Ovis aries: one gene and its partners. The protein of the gene in region 3 purifies or fractionates together with the protein of the main gene of each other region. This does not show direct contact. Links are inferred from orthologs where the notes say so. Each region holds a gene or a part of one and is shown on either strand. Other genes may lie near its edges.

Evidence for each region. The genes of interacting proteins can lie anywhere in the genome.
Region 1: the proteins of TRIM25 (region 3) and DDX5 purify together in Homo sapiens (affinity purification with western blotting; 3 studies listed by BioGRID, with this or other methods). This does not show direct contact. The link is inferred for Ovis aries from reciprocal best matches to the Homo sapiens genes TRIM25 and DDX5.
Region 2: the proteins of TRIM25 (region 3) and G3BP2 purify together in Homo sapiens (affinity purification with mass spectrometry; 4 studies listed by BioGRID and IntAct, counting the BioPlex papers as one, with this or other methods). This does not show direct contact. The link is inferred for Ovis aries from reciprocal best matches to the Homo sapiens genes TRIM25 and G3BP2.

The regions. Positions count from the first base shown.
Region 1 is NC_056064.1:48,408,952-48,413,825, reverse strand, and holds the start of DDX5 (probable ATP-dependent RNA helicase DDX5), read left to right. Parts: upstream 1-1,693; 5' UTR 1,694-1,863; coding exon 1,864-1,907; intron 1,908-3,086; coding exon 3,087-3,252; intron 3,253-3,435; coding exon 3,436-3,532; intron 3,533-3,616; coding exon 3,617-3,750; intron 3,751-3,867; coding exon 3,868-3,933; intron 3,934-4,170; coding exon 4,171-4,312; intron 4,313-4,396; coding exon 4,397-4,557; intron 4,558-4,657; coding exon 4,658-4,830; intron 4,831-4,874. Other genes in the region: CEP95 (centrosomal protein of 95 kDa), read right to left, coding at 808-826. UniProt on the Homo sapiens protein: Involved in the alternative regulation of pre-mRNA splicing; its RNA helicase activity is necessary for increasing tau exon 10 inclusion and occurs in a RBM4-dependent manner. Binds to the tau pre-mRNA in the stem-loop region downstream of exon 10.
Region 2 is NC_056059.1:91,313,086-91,317,970, reverse strand, and holds the start of G3BP2 (ras GTPase-activating protein-binding protein 2), read left to right. Parts: upstream 1-1,704; 5' UTR 1,705-1,875; intron 1,876-1,974; 5' UTR 1,975-2,094; exon of another isoform or gene 2,095-4,885. Other genes in the region: USO1 (general vesicular transport factor p115), read right to left, coding at 1,271-1,336.
Region 3 is NC_056064.1:7,414,349-7,418,449, reverse strand, and holds part of TRIM25 (E3 ubiquitin/ISG15 ligase TRIM25), read left to right. Parts: intron 1-510; coding exon 511-537; intron 538-889; coding exon 890-967; intron 968-1,096; coding exon 1,097-1,195; intron 1,196-2,925; coding exon 2,926-3,455; 3' UTR 3,456-4,101.

The DNA of each region.
Region 1 (4,874 bases), about 41 Mb from region 3:
AAATTCAGAGCTAGCACATTACTAACCCTATCGAAGTTTCCTGTGTATCACCCCTCCGTTGGGATTAGCCAAATTATTTCAAGGGCTTCTCAACCAAAGGTAATGTAGCAAACCTGAAACACTTGTTCCCTGAAATAATTGGCGATTAAGGGGCAAGTTCTTTTATTGTGCACGTTATCTTCAGTATGTTCCAGAAATAAACATGTGTATGTGAGGGCGTGTCAAGGCACCTTAACTCCCTCTCCCAGTGCCCATTATTTACAGCAGATCAAACCATGACAACCGGTTTGAACGCTGTCTTGGAAAAAAAGATGAAAGCGTCCTAGACAACCCAATCAACTCTCTTTTCAAAAACTGCGCTACAGAAAGCCGGTAACCGTAGGAAGCTCTGAAGCGGGAAAATCCACCACTATTCCGCTTTGGGATGACAATAGATTTTTAGAGTGCTAATACTCAGCCTCAGGCTCCGCAGTGCAGGAGCAGAGGGCACACTCCCTAGAAAATACTAGTCTAGGGAAAGACACTTTCTGATCATTTACAGCCACCATGCTCGCGTGCTGCGGGCCTCGCCGCAGGGCCCTTGTCTCCCCGCCCCAAATCAGGCTCGACAACTTCGAATGCGCCAGGGAGCGGGACTAAGAAGCCCCAGCCAGAGAACCCGCCAACTACGACCGGGTTGTCTCACGAGCCCCGCCGGCAGCCCACACCCACCCGAAGCCTCAAGATAAGATGGGGAGGGGCGTTCAGGACTTGGACTGAAAAGGTACTTGAGCCCACACACAAACGGGGCTCCACGCAGAGACTCACCAGCCTCTGAGCCGGCCATGTCGCGGAGGCAAGTCGCCGCCGGACTCCTAGCCGGGCGCGCGCGGGACGGCGTCCTGAAAGGGCCGCACGGCGCAGACCCAGGGCTGACAGGAGAGGAAGCAAACGAAAGTGCCGGGAAGGGGTGCGGTGAAGGAGGGAGGGACGTTAAAACGGCTTCTCGCTGCTGATTGGTCACCGCGGGAGTACTTCCTTTGGCGGCACGTGCCGAGGTGGCGGTTTGCGAACTCTAGATACCATTTTTCACCAGCCAGACCCCGCTCAGGGGTCCTGGGGTGGGTGGGTTTGACAGTTCGGGTCGCCCAACAGCCCCGGCCGATTTCCCGAGGGCATTAGCACGGCACTTCCGGTGAGCTATTTCGTCTTGTACTCCTCCGCCGACGCCAACTGGGGAAGTAGTGCGTCCCGCTCACTCGGCGGGCGGGGCAGCCACGTGACAATGTCAGGCTCCGCCTTCCTGTCGCCCCTAGTAATGGGTGTAAAGGCTCTTTGGAGACGTAAACATCTTCAAGGGGACCGAGGGAGTTGACCTGGGCTGGACATTTTATTGTCTGGGCTAGACCTGGAAAAGGGCGCAGTGGTTTCCCTGAAGTGTGAAAGACCAGAAAAAGGTGAAGTCAAGAGAGTGCAGGCTTAGGCATCCCAGTGGAGGACCGCGGGGTGGGGGCGGGTCCTATCCTTGAAAGGGGCGAAAAGTCGGCAAAGGGCCCGGGGGGAGGGGCGAGAAAATGGCGGATCCCGGAACGCCGGCAGGCGTTAATAGCTCTGCGCAGGGGCGGAGTGATTAGGTCATAGAGCGGCTCCCAGCATTCTCTGCGGCGGAGGAGGCGGGCCAGGCTATAAAACCGGCTGCCGGGACGCGGCCGGCACCTCATTCATTTCCACCGGTCTCTTGTTGGGCAGCCTTGGCTTCTGTCATCGTCGTCCCTCCGCCGCTGCCGCCCCCGCAAGGCTTTGCCGTCGCCGGAGCCACCTCCAGCGACTCGTCGCACCCGATTCTCTCCGCTTCGCTTCCCGCCAACCGCAACCATTGACGCCATGTCGGGTTATTCGAGTGACCGAGACCGTGGCCGGGATCGAGGGTGAGTGTGGGAACCGACCTGTCAGGCCCGGCGGGTGGGGGATGGGAGACCGATGAGGGTTGCGGGGGTGGGGTGGCGGGGGCAACTCGGCTTCTAAAGACTATTCTCGGGCCTCCGCCATCGAAAAGGGCTTGCGCCATTTTGTTATTTGTCCAAACCTGGACTTTTCATGTTAACGGTCCTCAAGATTCTTTTTTGTTTTGGAGGGGGTATCGGGGCCTTGATGATTTGGCAACTGTTCGGAGAATTTCGAGCACATTTTTTGAGGGGAGGAAAGCGCAGCGCTTTGAGGCGAAGTCGCCACTATTAGGTGTAAGCTTACAGGAATTTTAAGGAATCTGGGGGTTCTGTGGGTGCCGAGGGGGCCGCCTCCGAAGCCGTTAATGCGGCGAGGGTTGGAGGGTGGCCGGTGCCGCGGGAATCGGCCATGTGGCCGAGCCGTGGGTACAAAATGCCGGCGGCGGACATGGCGGCGGCGCCTTTGTTACCCCGCCCGGCGGAGGAGCTCAAAATGGCAGCGTCGAGAAAATGTGGCGCAGAGAGAAATGCGAGACAAAGGGGGAAGCGCCGCCCCAGCGGGAACGCCGCCCGAAGGACTCCGCCCGGGCCGGGACTCCTCCCCCGGTAGTCTCCGGCTCCTCCTCCTCGTTTTCCTTTCGTTATATAATTTTGCTACCTTGGTAGGAAACCGTTTTGAGGGATCCCCCCAACTCGATTGGCTTGCCTAACTGTCCCCGAGCCACCCGCCGTGTTCTGCACTCACTTACCTGTGTTGTTCCGCTACCTATTAAAATCAGAGCTCTTGGTTCAGGACAGGTGCTAAGTAACATCTGTGTTAAGCTTCTGCTTTATTTTTTTTTGGCATTTAATTCTTTCGCTTGTGTGAAAGAGTAGTATCCACCAGCTGTTGTTTGTCCTTGTATCTGAACTCCTAGAGCTTGGCCAGCCAGTTTCCAACCTAGTAAATCCCGGGCTGTTGATTTGTTTTCAATGGTGTGTACTTCGTGTAACGGGAAATGAGGGAGATGTAGTACTAACTGGCTTTTGAAAGAATGACCATCACTGAGGACAGCACTTGCATCTCCAGAATCTTTCATTGAGTTTTAGCATGTGCGCAGGGATGGTAAAATAAGTCTGTACATGTTTGAAAATGCAATTTTTTTTCCCCTCAAATTTTAGGTTTGGTGCTCCTCGATTTGGAGGTAGTAGGGCAGGGCCCTTATCTGGAAAGAAGTTTGGAAACCCTGGAGAGAAACTGGTTAAAAAGAAGTGGAATCTTGATGAGCTGCCCAAGTTTGAGAAGAATTTTTATCAAGAACACCCCGATTTGGCTAGGCGTACAGCAGTGAGTAATTTCATGTGGTTTTTTCAGCTTGTAACTCAGTGACATTTAAGTTTGACTAGAAATGTCTTGCAAACTTAAAGGAATGTTAATGTTGATAATTATTAACTTAGGGGTGTGTTGGTCGTGTGTTTAGTTAGGGGGAGTCCTCGTGAGATAACTGAATTTTATAAATTTCTTTTGTAGCAAGAGGTGGAGACATACAGAAGAAGCAAGGAAATTACAGTTAGAGGTCATAACTGCCCAAAGCCAGTCCTGAATTTTTATGAGGCAAACTTCCCTGGTAAGTGCTAGTTTTCCCCACCTTAAAAAAAAAAATCCCTTTCTCATGGCATTATTGACGTTTACTTAATTCTTAACATTACAGCAAATGTCATGGATGTGATTGCAAGGCAGAACTTCACTGAACCCACAGCTATTCAAGCTCAGGGATGGCCGGTTGCTCTGAGTGGATTGGATATGGTTGGGGTAGCACAAACTGGATCTGGGAAGACTTTGTCTGTAAGTTTGGGAAACTTTGAGTTAGGTGACAGGTCCTGAAGAAAAATGGGTTGGGAATTAAAAGAAACCAGAAGTGTTTTTAATATGGCTTTTTTTGTTTGCTTTTCTTTTGTATAGTATTTGCTGCCTGCCATTGTCCACATCAATCATCAACCATTCCTAGAGAGAGGTGATGGGCCTATTGTAAGTGTACATTGTATTCTCTTAACTTGGTTAACAGCGTAGAGATTTGTAGAATATACAGCAAAAGAAAATTCTGGTGGTTTTATATGGAAGGTTATGTTTTTCAGTGTAGGAAGGGACAAAGCTGCTTTGGGTATTGACAATGTATATCATCTGCTAGTGTAGCAACAGTAAATTAGCACTTCAAAACTAGAATTCAGGGGTCTCCTAAAGGTGTTCCACTTTCTCTTTCCTTAGTGCTTGGTGCTGGCACCTACTCGGGAACTGGCCCAACAGGTGCAGCAAGTAGCTGCTGAATACTGTAGAGCATGTCGCTTGAAGTCTACTTGCATTTATGGTGGTGCTCCCAAGGGACCACAAATACGTGATTTGGAGAGAGGTATGTAACCAAAAAGGTTTTATTTGTCACTGATCATGCAGGAAGTTCTGGATGTCATGGTAACTTTTGTGTGTTTAATTAAAGGTGTGGAAATCTGTATTGCAACACCTGGAAGACTGATAGACTTTTTAGAATGTGGGAAAACCAATCTAAGAAGAACCACCTACCTTGTCCTTGATGAAGCAGATAGAATGCTTGATATGGGATTTGAACCCCAAATAAGGAAGATTGTGGACCAGATCAGAGTGAGTGCCCTTTTAAATGTTATCATGTCTTCAAACTAAGCTGTAAATTTGTTCTTGAAATACAATGGTTTTTTTTTTTTTTTAATCTAAAAATCTGTAGCCTGATAGGCAAACCCTAATGTGGAGTGCTACTTGGCCAAAAGAAGTAAGACAGCTTGCTGAAGATTTCCTGAAAGACTATATTCATATAAACATTGGTGCACTGGAACTGAGTGCAAATCACAACATTCTTCAGATTGTGGATGTGTGTCATGACGTAGAAAAGGATGAAAAGTAAGTGACTAACTCTGAAGACAACTTTACAAGTTGAGTCACTG
Region 2 (4,885 bases), on a different chromosome or scaffold from region 3:
AAATTCCCCAAATTCCCAGATATGTATTAAAATACAGACATCAGCAATAAAGTCTAGGCTTTGACGTAAGGCAAGCTTTGTTTGAATCCTGGCTCCATTACTACTAGTGTGACTTAGGTCAAGTGACTTCACCTCTCTAATCCTCAAGTGTTCACTTGTAAAGTGAGGATACTATCACCTATCCTACAAGGTGGTTGGGGAGCTAAGGAAAATAAGAATGTAAACTACAAAGAACACAGAACCCAGCACAAGGTAAGAACCTGGCAAATGAAAGCTATCATTGAACCTTCAGGATCCTAGTAACACAGAACATAGGATCAACATTCACAGACAATCCAGTAGTGTCTACAAATACTAACCACAGTTTACTTTTACAATGCCATACTTTGTCACTTTTTTGTAGACCTAAAATTACTCTCAAACCAATAGTTAAAAAAAAGTCATACACTTATTCCTAACAGACACTAACCAAACTTCGAGATTTATCCTAAACCTAAAATCGAACCAACTTATCAAAAATTGTGTTGAGTAGCTAACAATTTTTTTAAAGTGACGCTGCAAATCCTGTTTACACGAGTTCAGACTTCTGAATGGGGAGAATGGAAGGGACGCGTGTTCCCAAAGCATTTTGAGCGCCAAAGATCCCCACAACGACCAAGCGAGTATTTCCCAAATAGTGGGCGAGGCTGAAAAACGGGGTCCGAACTAATGACACCTGAAAGAACGACCTGCCTCTAGTTGAATGGGCAGGGGCAGGTGGCTTTGTGACCCAAACTATCGTATTATTCTTAGCCACTTGCTCTGGTCAACTGCTGGGTTTAAACCTTCCTGCAGTTTTCCTCAAAGCCCCATTCCAGACTGCGAGGGAGGTGGACTTTAGGTTAATCACCGCCAGTGAAGACACTGGCGAAAAGGGAGGGACAGGCCCGCGGCCCCGAAGGGCGTGGGAGGCAGGTCAGGCCACTTCTGCCCAGGATGGATGCCTTTCCCGGAGGTACCACCGCGGACCACCACCAAGCGGCCTGTGGAGCTTCGGGGCGCGGCTGCTGTCAGCAGGGCCAAGCCGCCGCGCTGGGGGTTGTGCTGCGGGTGTGAGGGAATAACTTGCGGGTTTCAGGAGAGGAAAAGAGGCACGGGGGCAAAAGGGGAGGCGGCATGTAGACTCCCGGCCCACGGTGACGCGCAGGGGGGTGACCTCCGGGCCCCTATGTCCTCCGTCCCGGTTTCTGCCCGGACCCTTCCCAAGTCCCGGACCCGCCGCTCCTCTCACCGTCTCGGCTTCTGTGTGCTGGGGTCCGGCACTCTGACCCCCCATAACCCCGCGGAGGAAATTCATCTTGCCGCTCAGCCACGGGCTCTACCGGCCTTTTCGGGAAAGAAGAGATAACTTCCCCTGTCCTCCGCAGGGCCCGACCCCCAAGCCTGCACTTTGCACTCCCCGGCCGCCACCGCCACAGCCTACTCGGCGGCCGCTCCAGCCCCCTAAGCCCGGAAACAGCGTCCGCCACCAGTTGAGATGCGCATGCGCGGCGACGTGGCATTACGTGGCGGCTCGAAGGGCGAAGGCAAACGAGCAAAGTAGGCGAGAGGCGGCTGGTAGCCCAGGTCCTCCTAAGCCCCGCCCACTGCGAAGGCTCCGCCCTCCCCCGTAAGAACACGCCTCCCACTCCAGCCTTCGGCTGGTGCCTCCTGCTGGCCCCAACCACCCACGTGGTGCGAGCCCGGCCCTGCCGGCAGGAGACCTTACGGATTGTGTACGCATTTTGGCTTGCAAGGTGTTTAATTGTTGCCGGGCGGGACTTACTGCAAGCTGTCAAGTCTGGGGTTGTGTTTTGTTGAGTAGAAAGAGAAATTGTCCTTCGGCCGACGTGACAGGTAAGGGGTCCCGGCCTCTGGGAGGGTTCATTTGGTTTTGCGGTATAGCAGTACGAGCTTTGTGGCCTTCTCATCCCCACAAATTGCATTTCTTTACAGGGCTTTGTTTGGTGAAAAAAAGGGTACTTGAGCCCCCTCATTCCATTGCCACGGGAGGGCGCATTTCTCAGCTTTTGCTCTTCCAACCTGCTAAAAGGAATTCCTGGATCTAAACACCAGGTACACCGCTATTTTCTAGGGGTGTGAGGAGGAAACCAATCCAACCCTGCGTTTGGCTTACTAGATTAAATACATTGATCTGCAGTGTCATTTTGACAGCAGGGAACATAATGTTTTGTTATTAATGCTAAACTCTTAGATTTTCAGCGTGTGTCTGGGGGGTTAGCATGAAAAATATTCGTTTTTCAAATCGGTAAGCCTTGTTTCTTTTGAAATGAGAGTGCCAGATACACATGCTTATGGAGTAGTCTTGTCAATGCCTTGAACGTGAAAGCGCAGAGTCTAGTTATAACTGATTCATACACCACTCCCCTTGGATGCCCCACAGGTCTCAGACTCCCCAACCTTCCTTTAAAAAAAAAAAAATCAGTATGCTTCGTTCATGTGCCCTGCTGCACTCATCAGTATCACTAGCCAAATAATTGCCTAAGCTGGAAGGAGGAGGCTGGGAGGAATCTGAAACTCTGGAATTCACCCCCGCATGTCCAGTAGTCAAATCCTGTCATGCCTATTTATAGACTATTTTTCAAATAGGTCTCTGCTCTCCATGCTCTCTGCCTCTGACATGGTTTATGTTCCCATCATTCTTCACCAAGATTACGGGCAATAGCTTCCTAACTGGTTTGTCAGCATTTAAGCCTTGGGTTTCTTCCAGTCACCCAAGTCCACTCTTGGGTGAGCCTGACAATGACAAAACATCTGTCCATGTTAGTCCTCGTCTGAAAATCCTCCGGTTGTCGCCCATTCACCTCAAAATAAAATCCAAACTCCTTAGCTTGATGTATAGGCCTGTTATGTTCTGGCTCTTGCCTGTTTTTTCAGCTCCTGCCTCCCACACATACTCTGGATATAGGCCTGGATAAGTCCTTCCCCTCCCTCCACTTCATCAAGGAAACTCCTGCTAGTTCCTTAAAATTTAACTTTGGTATCTTCAGAAAGCTCTCCCTGAAATCTAGATAACATGTGTATATGCTATTCCTTTGCAGTTGTTAATATGTGGGAAGCTCTCAATAAATGCCTATTGAGCCAGACTGTTAATGGCAGAATGTGTTATTCATTTTTATATCTCTGTGGCTTAGCATTGTCACATAAAAGGTGATATTGATAGATACATGAAGAAAGCATTAAAGGGTATATGAATATAATGATGAGGAGGAAGGTCCTTTTTTTCATCTGTAGGGTGGGTTTGCAGATAACACATATCACAAAGGCTATGGTGCAGTTTCCTTTGCTAGTGCCAAGGTTTTAAGCTTCTGTGAGTTGGAGAACAGTGGGGATCATACTGCCAAAAATATTGTACACTAAGCATTGTCCTCTGTTTTAAAACTGGACACTTGACAGTTTGCTTTAGATATTTTCCACCAGGGCATTTCCTTGCAGCCTAAAAAAAGTAACCAATAAATGCTCAGCATTTTTATTACCAAGTAATATCTGCAAAGAACTTCATCTAGTCCTTAAGTGTCACCCCTCCCTGAGCCTCTCCTCACCTCTAGGGGTAAAGCTCTGAGATGGAGTGGGGCTCATGGATGTTTATTACATGTATTATTTGGTAATAAAAAGCAGCGCCTTCACATTTTAGCAGAATCATTTTAAGGCACCAACCTTTCCAAAATGCCCTGCTTTGTTTTAAATTTCCGTGAGTATAGCAGACGCTCAAGAACCATTTCTTAAATAAAGGAAAAGAAAACATGAAAAAATTATGACTGCCCGACTTATGCCGTTATACTTCTCACTTTTATAAATCTAAATATTCAATGGACGAATGCGAATCATTAAAATACATATAATTCATGGCTCAACTGGTAAAGAATCTGCCTGCAATGCAGGAGACCTGGGTTTGATCCCTGGATTGGAAAGATCCCCTGGAGAAGGGAAAGACTACCCACTCCAGTGCTCTGGCATGGAGAATTCCATGGACTGTATAGTCTGTGGTGTTGCAAAGAGTCAGACACGACTGAGTGACTTTCAGTTTTCAAAATGTTAACTTGGGTAAATAAAAGTGATTTTTCTGAGAACAGAACAACTAACAAAACTCATTGATTTGAAATTCATTTTTAGATTTGCTTGCTTCCAATCCCCTAGCTCAGTGGCTCTCTTCAGTGGCCCACTTTCCTCATCCTTTTTTATTTTCTATAGCAAACTCAACAATAACAATGAAATATCATTGCACAAGATTGGTTGAGGGTGGTGGTAATACAGTGGACTTTTGTCCATACCTGCTTTGGAGGATGAGTGGAGGTGATAATTTGTGTCTAAAATGTATCAGTCACATACAGGTTTTTAAAGACTAGTTACTGGAAAAGTCAGGGTTCAAAAATATTGTTGATAAAATTTTGCATTAAGTTTTATTCATTACCCAAACAACACACAGCAAAATAAATTGATAATGATGAAGCAGTAATTGACATTCAGAACCAACCAATAATAACAGTATCAAATACACTTGTGCTGTTTCTTTGCCAGACTATTCAAAGGACTTTACAAGAAATAAATTGCTTAATTCTCTCAACAACCTTATGAACTGAATAATCTTATTAGCCTCATTTTTCCCGTGACAAAACAGGGACAGAGAGTAACTTGCCTGATGTCATATAGGTAGAAAGTGGCAGAGCTGGAACGTAAATTGGTAATCTGACTCCAAAGCCTGTGCTCTTATGTACTACCCTGTCTGACCTCTCTAGACTCAAGACAATGATCCTGCACTAAGTAGAGAGGTGGTCTACAAGTCCCTGTGTAATCTGGCCTCTCTGTTGTCTCCCTGACCTCACTCACTTCCTGCTTTATTCCCTCC
Region 3 (4,101 bases):
CCACCAGGCTCCCCTGTCCCTGGGATTCTCCAGACAAGAACACTGGAGTGGGTTGCCATTTCCTTCTCCAATGCATGAAAGTGAAAAGTGAAAGTGAAGTTGCCCAGTCGTGTCTGACTCTTAGTGACCCCATGGTAGCCCACCAGGCTCCTCCGTCCGTGGGATTTTCCAGGCAAGAGTACTGGAGTGGAGTGCCATTGCCTTCTCTGATACATCTGTGTTACCATTATGCCTTCTCCGATACATCTGTGTTACCATTACGCAAATCGGGATAAAGATTTCCATTTCACCAGGAAATCCATTCATGTTCCTTATTAGCCCCTCACCACCAAAACCATGATGTAGGACCGTAGATTAATTTACCTGTTGACCCCCTTATATTTTTCAACGTAAAATGTACTAGCTCTATTTGTATGGGTCACCTTCATGTAGCGATTATTATTACGGTGTTTGAAAGTATGGTTGTGTTGTGCTTTGAAACATTTTAATTCTGAAAATTTTGTTTTTCAGAAGAAGAGAAGAAGCCCAAGAAACCTGGTAAGTTATGCATTTCTGCATCTTTTAGCTCCTTGAGTACCCAAGTGCAGAACTAAATGCCAGCAAGGAAAGCTGAGCTGTGGGCTGGTGTGTGTTGGGGGAGGGTCTGAGATGGGCATGGGCTCCATAACTGTGACTTGTGCTGGCCGCTGGGTCTGGGCTTGGGCGTGAGGATAAGTGGACATGCATGAGACCAGTATGATGCATGTTCCCCTGTCTGGACTCTTTCATGTCACCCTGGTGGTCCAGGTGTGTGTTTGTGGAGGCAGCTCTTGAGAAATAGTGTGGGAGGGGTTCCAGGCCATCAGGTCACTCTGTCGTTTCCCCAACTCACCTGTCTTCCTTATCCCAGCCTCTGCCTTACTCAACAAGCCTGTCACCTTTGGATCCTCGGAACACTTAGTGAATCTCAAACAACCTGGCCAGGAGGGTGAGTTCTGGTGGGCCGTGGACAGTGGAATGCTCTGAATTTGTTTGGAGCGGGAATGAGCAGGAGTGAAAAGCAGCACTTTTCATTTTATGCATTGGACAAGGAAATGGTTTTCTGTTCCTCCTCCAGGTGCAGCCAAAGCCCCTGCCGTGCCACCGACCTCAGCATCTCTCAACGCCAAGGTGCTGGAGAACTTCCTAAGCAAGTCCAGGCCGGAGCTCCTGGAGTGTGAGTAGCTGCTGCCTTGCTTGTCCTTGCCTCTGTCTGGCGTGGTCAGCCTGCCCCCTGGAGGGTGCCCTTACTGCTCCTCTGTGGCTTCCAGCCTGGAAGTGGTGGCAGTTCCTTCCTCCAGGCCAGGCCTCGGGCCACCCATAGCTTCACCCACGGAGCACCCTCCGCTGGTGGTCACTTCCTTGCAGCGGCAGAAACCTCTCTCTGCAAAGTATGCTCTGGCCCTCCTTTTCCCACAGCTGCTGTGGGCGTGGTTCTGGCGCAGTGGGCGTGGCTCACCCATTGCTGGAGCTGTGGGTGTGGTTCTGGCACAGTGGGCGTGGCTCACCCTTTGCTGGAGCTGTGGGTGTGGTTCTGGCGCAGTGGGCGTGGCTCACCCATTGCTGGAGCTGTGGGCGTGGTTCTGGCGCAGTGGGCGTGGCTCACCCATTGCTGGAGCTGTGGGTGTGGTTCTGGCACAGTGGGCGTGGCTCACCCATTGCTGGAGCTGTGGGCGTGGTTCTGGTGCAGTGGGCATGGTTCACCCGTTGCTGGAACTGTGGTACCTGGTATCAGGGCCGGCCTCCCTGGAGCTTCCTGGCTGGGAAAGGCCTCCCCTGCCCCCAACCCCTGTGATTGATGCCAGGCTGCTGGGGACAGTGCTGAGCCACGTGTCTGTGGAGACCCCTGCACTCTGCGGTACAGCTGTTTAAGCAGAGGAAAGGAGTTCTAGGGACTTAGGGTATTCAGAGGACATTTTCCCAGGCCATTCATTTTGCCCTGGGGGAGGCCCAGGGCCAGGTGCAAAGTGTCTTTCCCTGAGCCAGGGGGTGGCAGAGAACCCTGGTCTCTAGCTTCCCAAATTTCTAAGCTCAGGATTTTCCCTGTCTGCCCAGCTCTCTATCATTGGTCCAGGGTCCTCTGTGAGTGGAAGGGCAGGGAGGGCTAGGGAGGAGCACCTATCCTAGGGAGGAGGTGGAGGCCAGGCTTATGTCCTAATCAAGGATTCTATTCAGGTCATTGCTATGCTTGGCAGACCTCAGTTGACTGCCCGCTGCCCCCAGTTAAAGTCGAGACCCTTTGGCTCGGCACTGGTGGCTTCAGAGGTCCCTCTTCTCTCGCTGCAGCCTCTGTGTTCCCAGCTGCCCCGGCTTCCCTGTTCCCAGCACGTCCGTCATCCTCGTGACTCCATGCTTGCCTTCACTGTCTCTCGCAGCCTTTCTCCCTCCCCTGCTCTCCTGTTTAATTCTCATCTCCCTTTCGCTTGGCTCAGATTCCAGCCCACCCCTGAAGTACGTGTTCCTCGGTGCTCTCCCCTCCCTTGGCCCGTTACCCCCATGGCTGTGTCCCTCCAGCAGAGTGCCTGCCCGTCAGTGGAGCAGGGAGTCCTCACTGTTGTCGCTGCTGATGTGCTTGCCTTACTTCTGGGAGTGGGAACTCCACGAGGCCAGGCTCCGCATCTGGTTCATGGCTGCGCGTCCTGTATAGAGCCTGGCATAAGCCAGGGGCTCCGTAGGTGGTTTTGGGTGGAGGAATAGAGAGACAGACGGGTGACTAATAGACACACAGATGGCTTGATTGGCAGTTAGAGAGGTGGACAGATGTCTGACGAGCTGGACAGAATGAATGGGCTGGAAGGGTGGTTGAATGGATGGGAAGAACAAATGAATAAATATTACCAGCTAGAGAAAGGAGGCAAGGTGGGAGTGCTCGGAGCGCCTCTGATTGACTCCTTGATGCTTCCTCAGATGTGGTTAAGGTTGTCCTGGACTACAACACCGCCCACAGCAAGGTGGCCCTGTCCGAGAACTACACCGTCGCGTCCGTGGCGGAAACGCCCCTGAACTACCGGCCGCATCCCCAGCGGTTCACATACTGCTCGCAGGTCCTGGGACTGCACTGCTACAAGAAAGGGATTCACTACTGGGAGGTGGAGCTTCAGAAGAACAACTTCTGCGGGGTGGGCGTCTGCTACGGCAGCATGGAGCGGCAGGGCCCCGAGAGCCGGCTTGGCCGCAACAGCGCGTCCTGGTGTGTGGAGTGGTTCAACACCAAGATCTCCGCCTGGCACAACAACGTGGAGAAAACCCTGCCGTCCACCAAGGCCACGCGGGTGGGGGTGCTTCTCAACTGCGATCACGGCTTCGTGCTCTTCTTCGCCGCGGCTGACAAGGTCCACCTGTTGTACAAGTACAAGGTGGACTTCACCGAGGCCGTGTACCCCGCCTTCTGGCTCTTCTCCACAGGTGCCATGCTCTCCATCTGCTCCTCCAAGTAGGCCGGCCACGGATGCTCGGCCGAACCGCCCACGTGCTTTCCCAGGTCCCCCCGGGAGGGTGCTGCAGCTGGGACCCCTGGGGAGTTGCCCTAGGTCCCCCAGGGCCAAAGGGATGGGAGGGGAGCTGCGGAGGGCGGGAGGCTGGGCAGATGGCATGAGAAGTCAGGGTTGGCCAGGGACAGGGGTGGGGGTGTTTGCCTTGTGGGTCAGGAAGCCTCCCACTTCCTGGTGCCTCTCCAGCCGGATGCCCCCCTCGGTCCTGGTAGATCCAGGCGGCTGGGCGGGTCTCCAGGGAGTCAATGTCACAAGCGCCTCTTTCCTGCTGGACATAATCTGTAACCCCTGTGGGTTATTCCTCAGGCCTCTGGTGCCTGCTTCTTTCTTCTCCGAAGTAGCCTTCAAATCTTGGAGTTCTGATGACTCTTTGTAGAGCTATTCAGGTCTGTAGATTAAAAAAAAAAAAAAAGCCAAAGTCAGTGAATTTCATTCCCCTCCACTGCCTCCGTGTGGGAGTTGGGATGAATGCTCAGACTTCTGGTTATTTTCTGTGCTTGAGGGAAGCAACCCACAGCAGGTCTCCACCCAGACCGGAGTTTCCCAAAGAAGCATGTCCTTTTGCCCTCTGTTGTCCCTTCCTGTCCTGCAC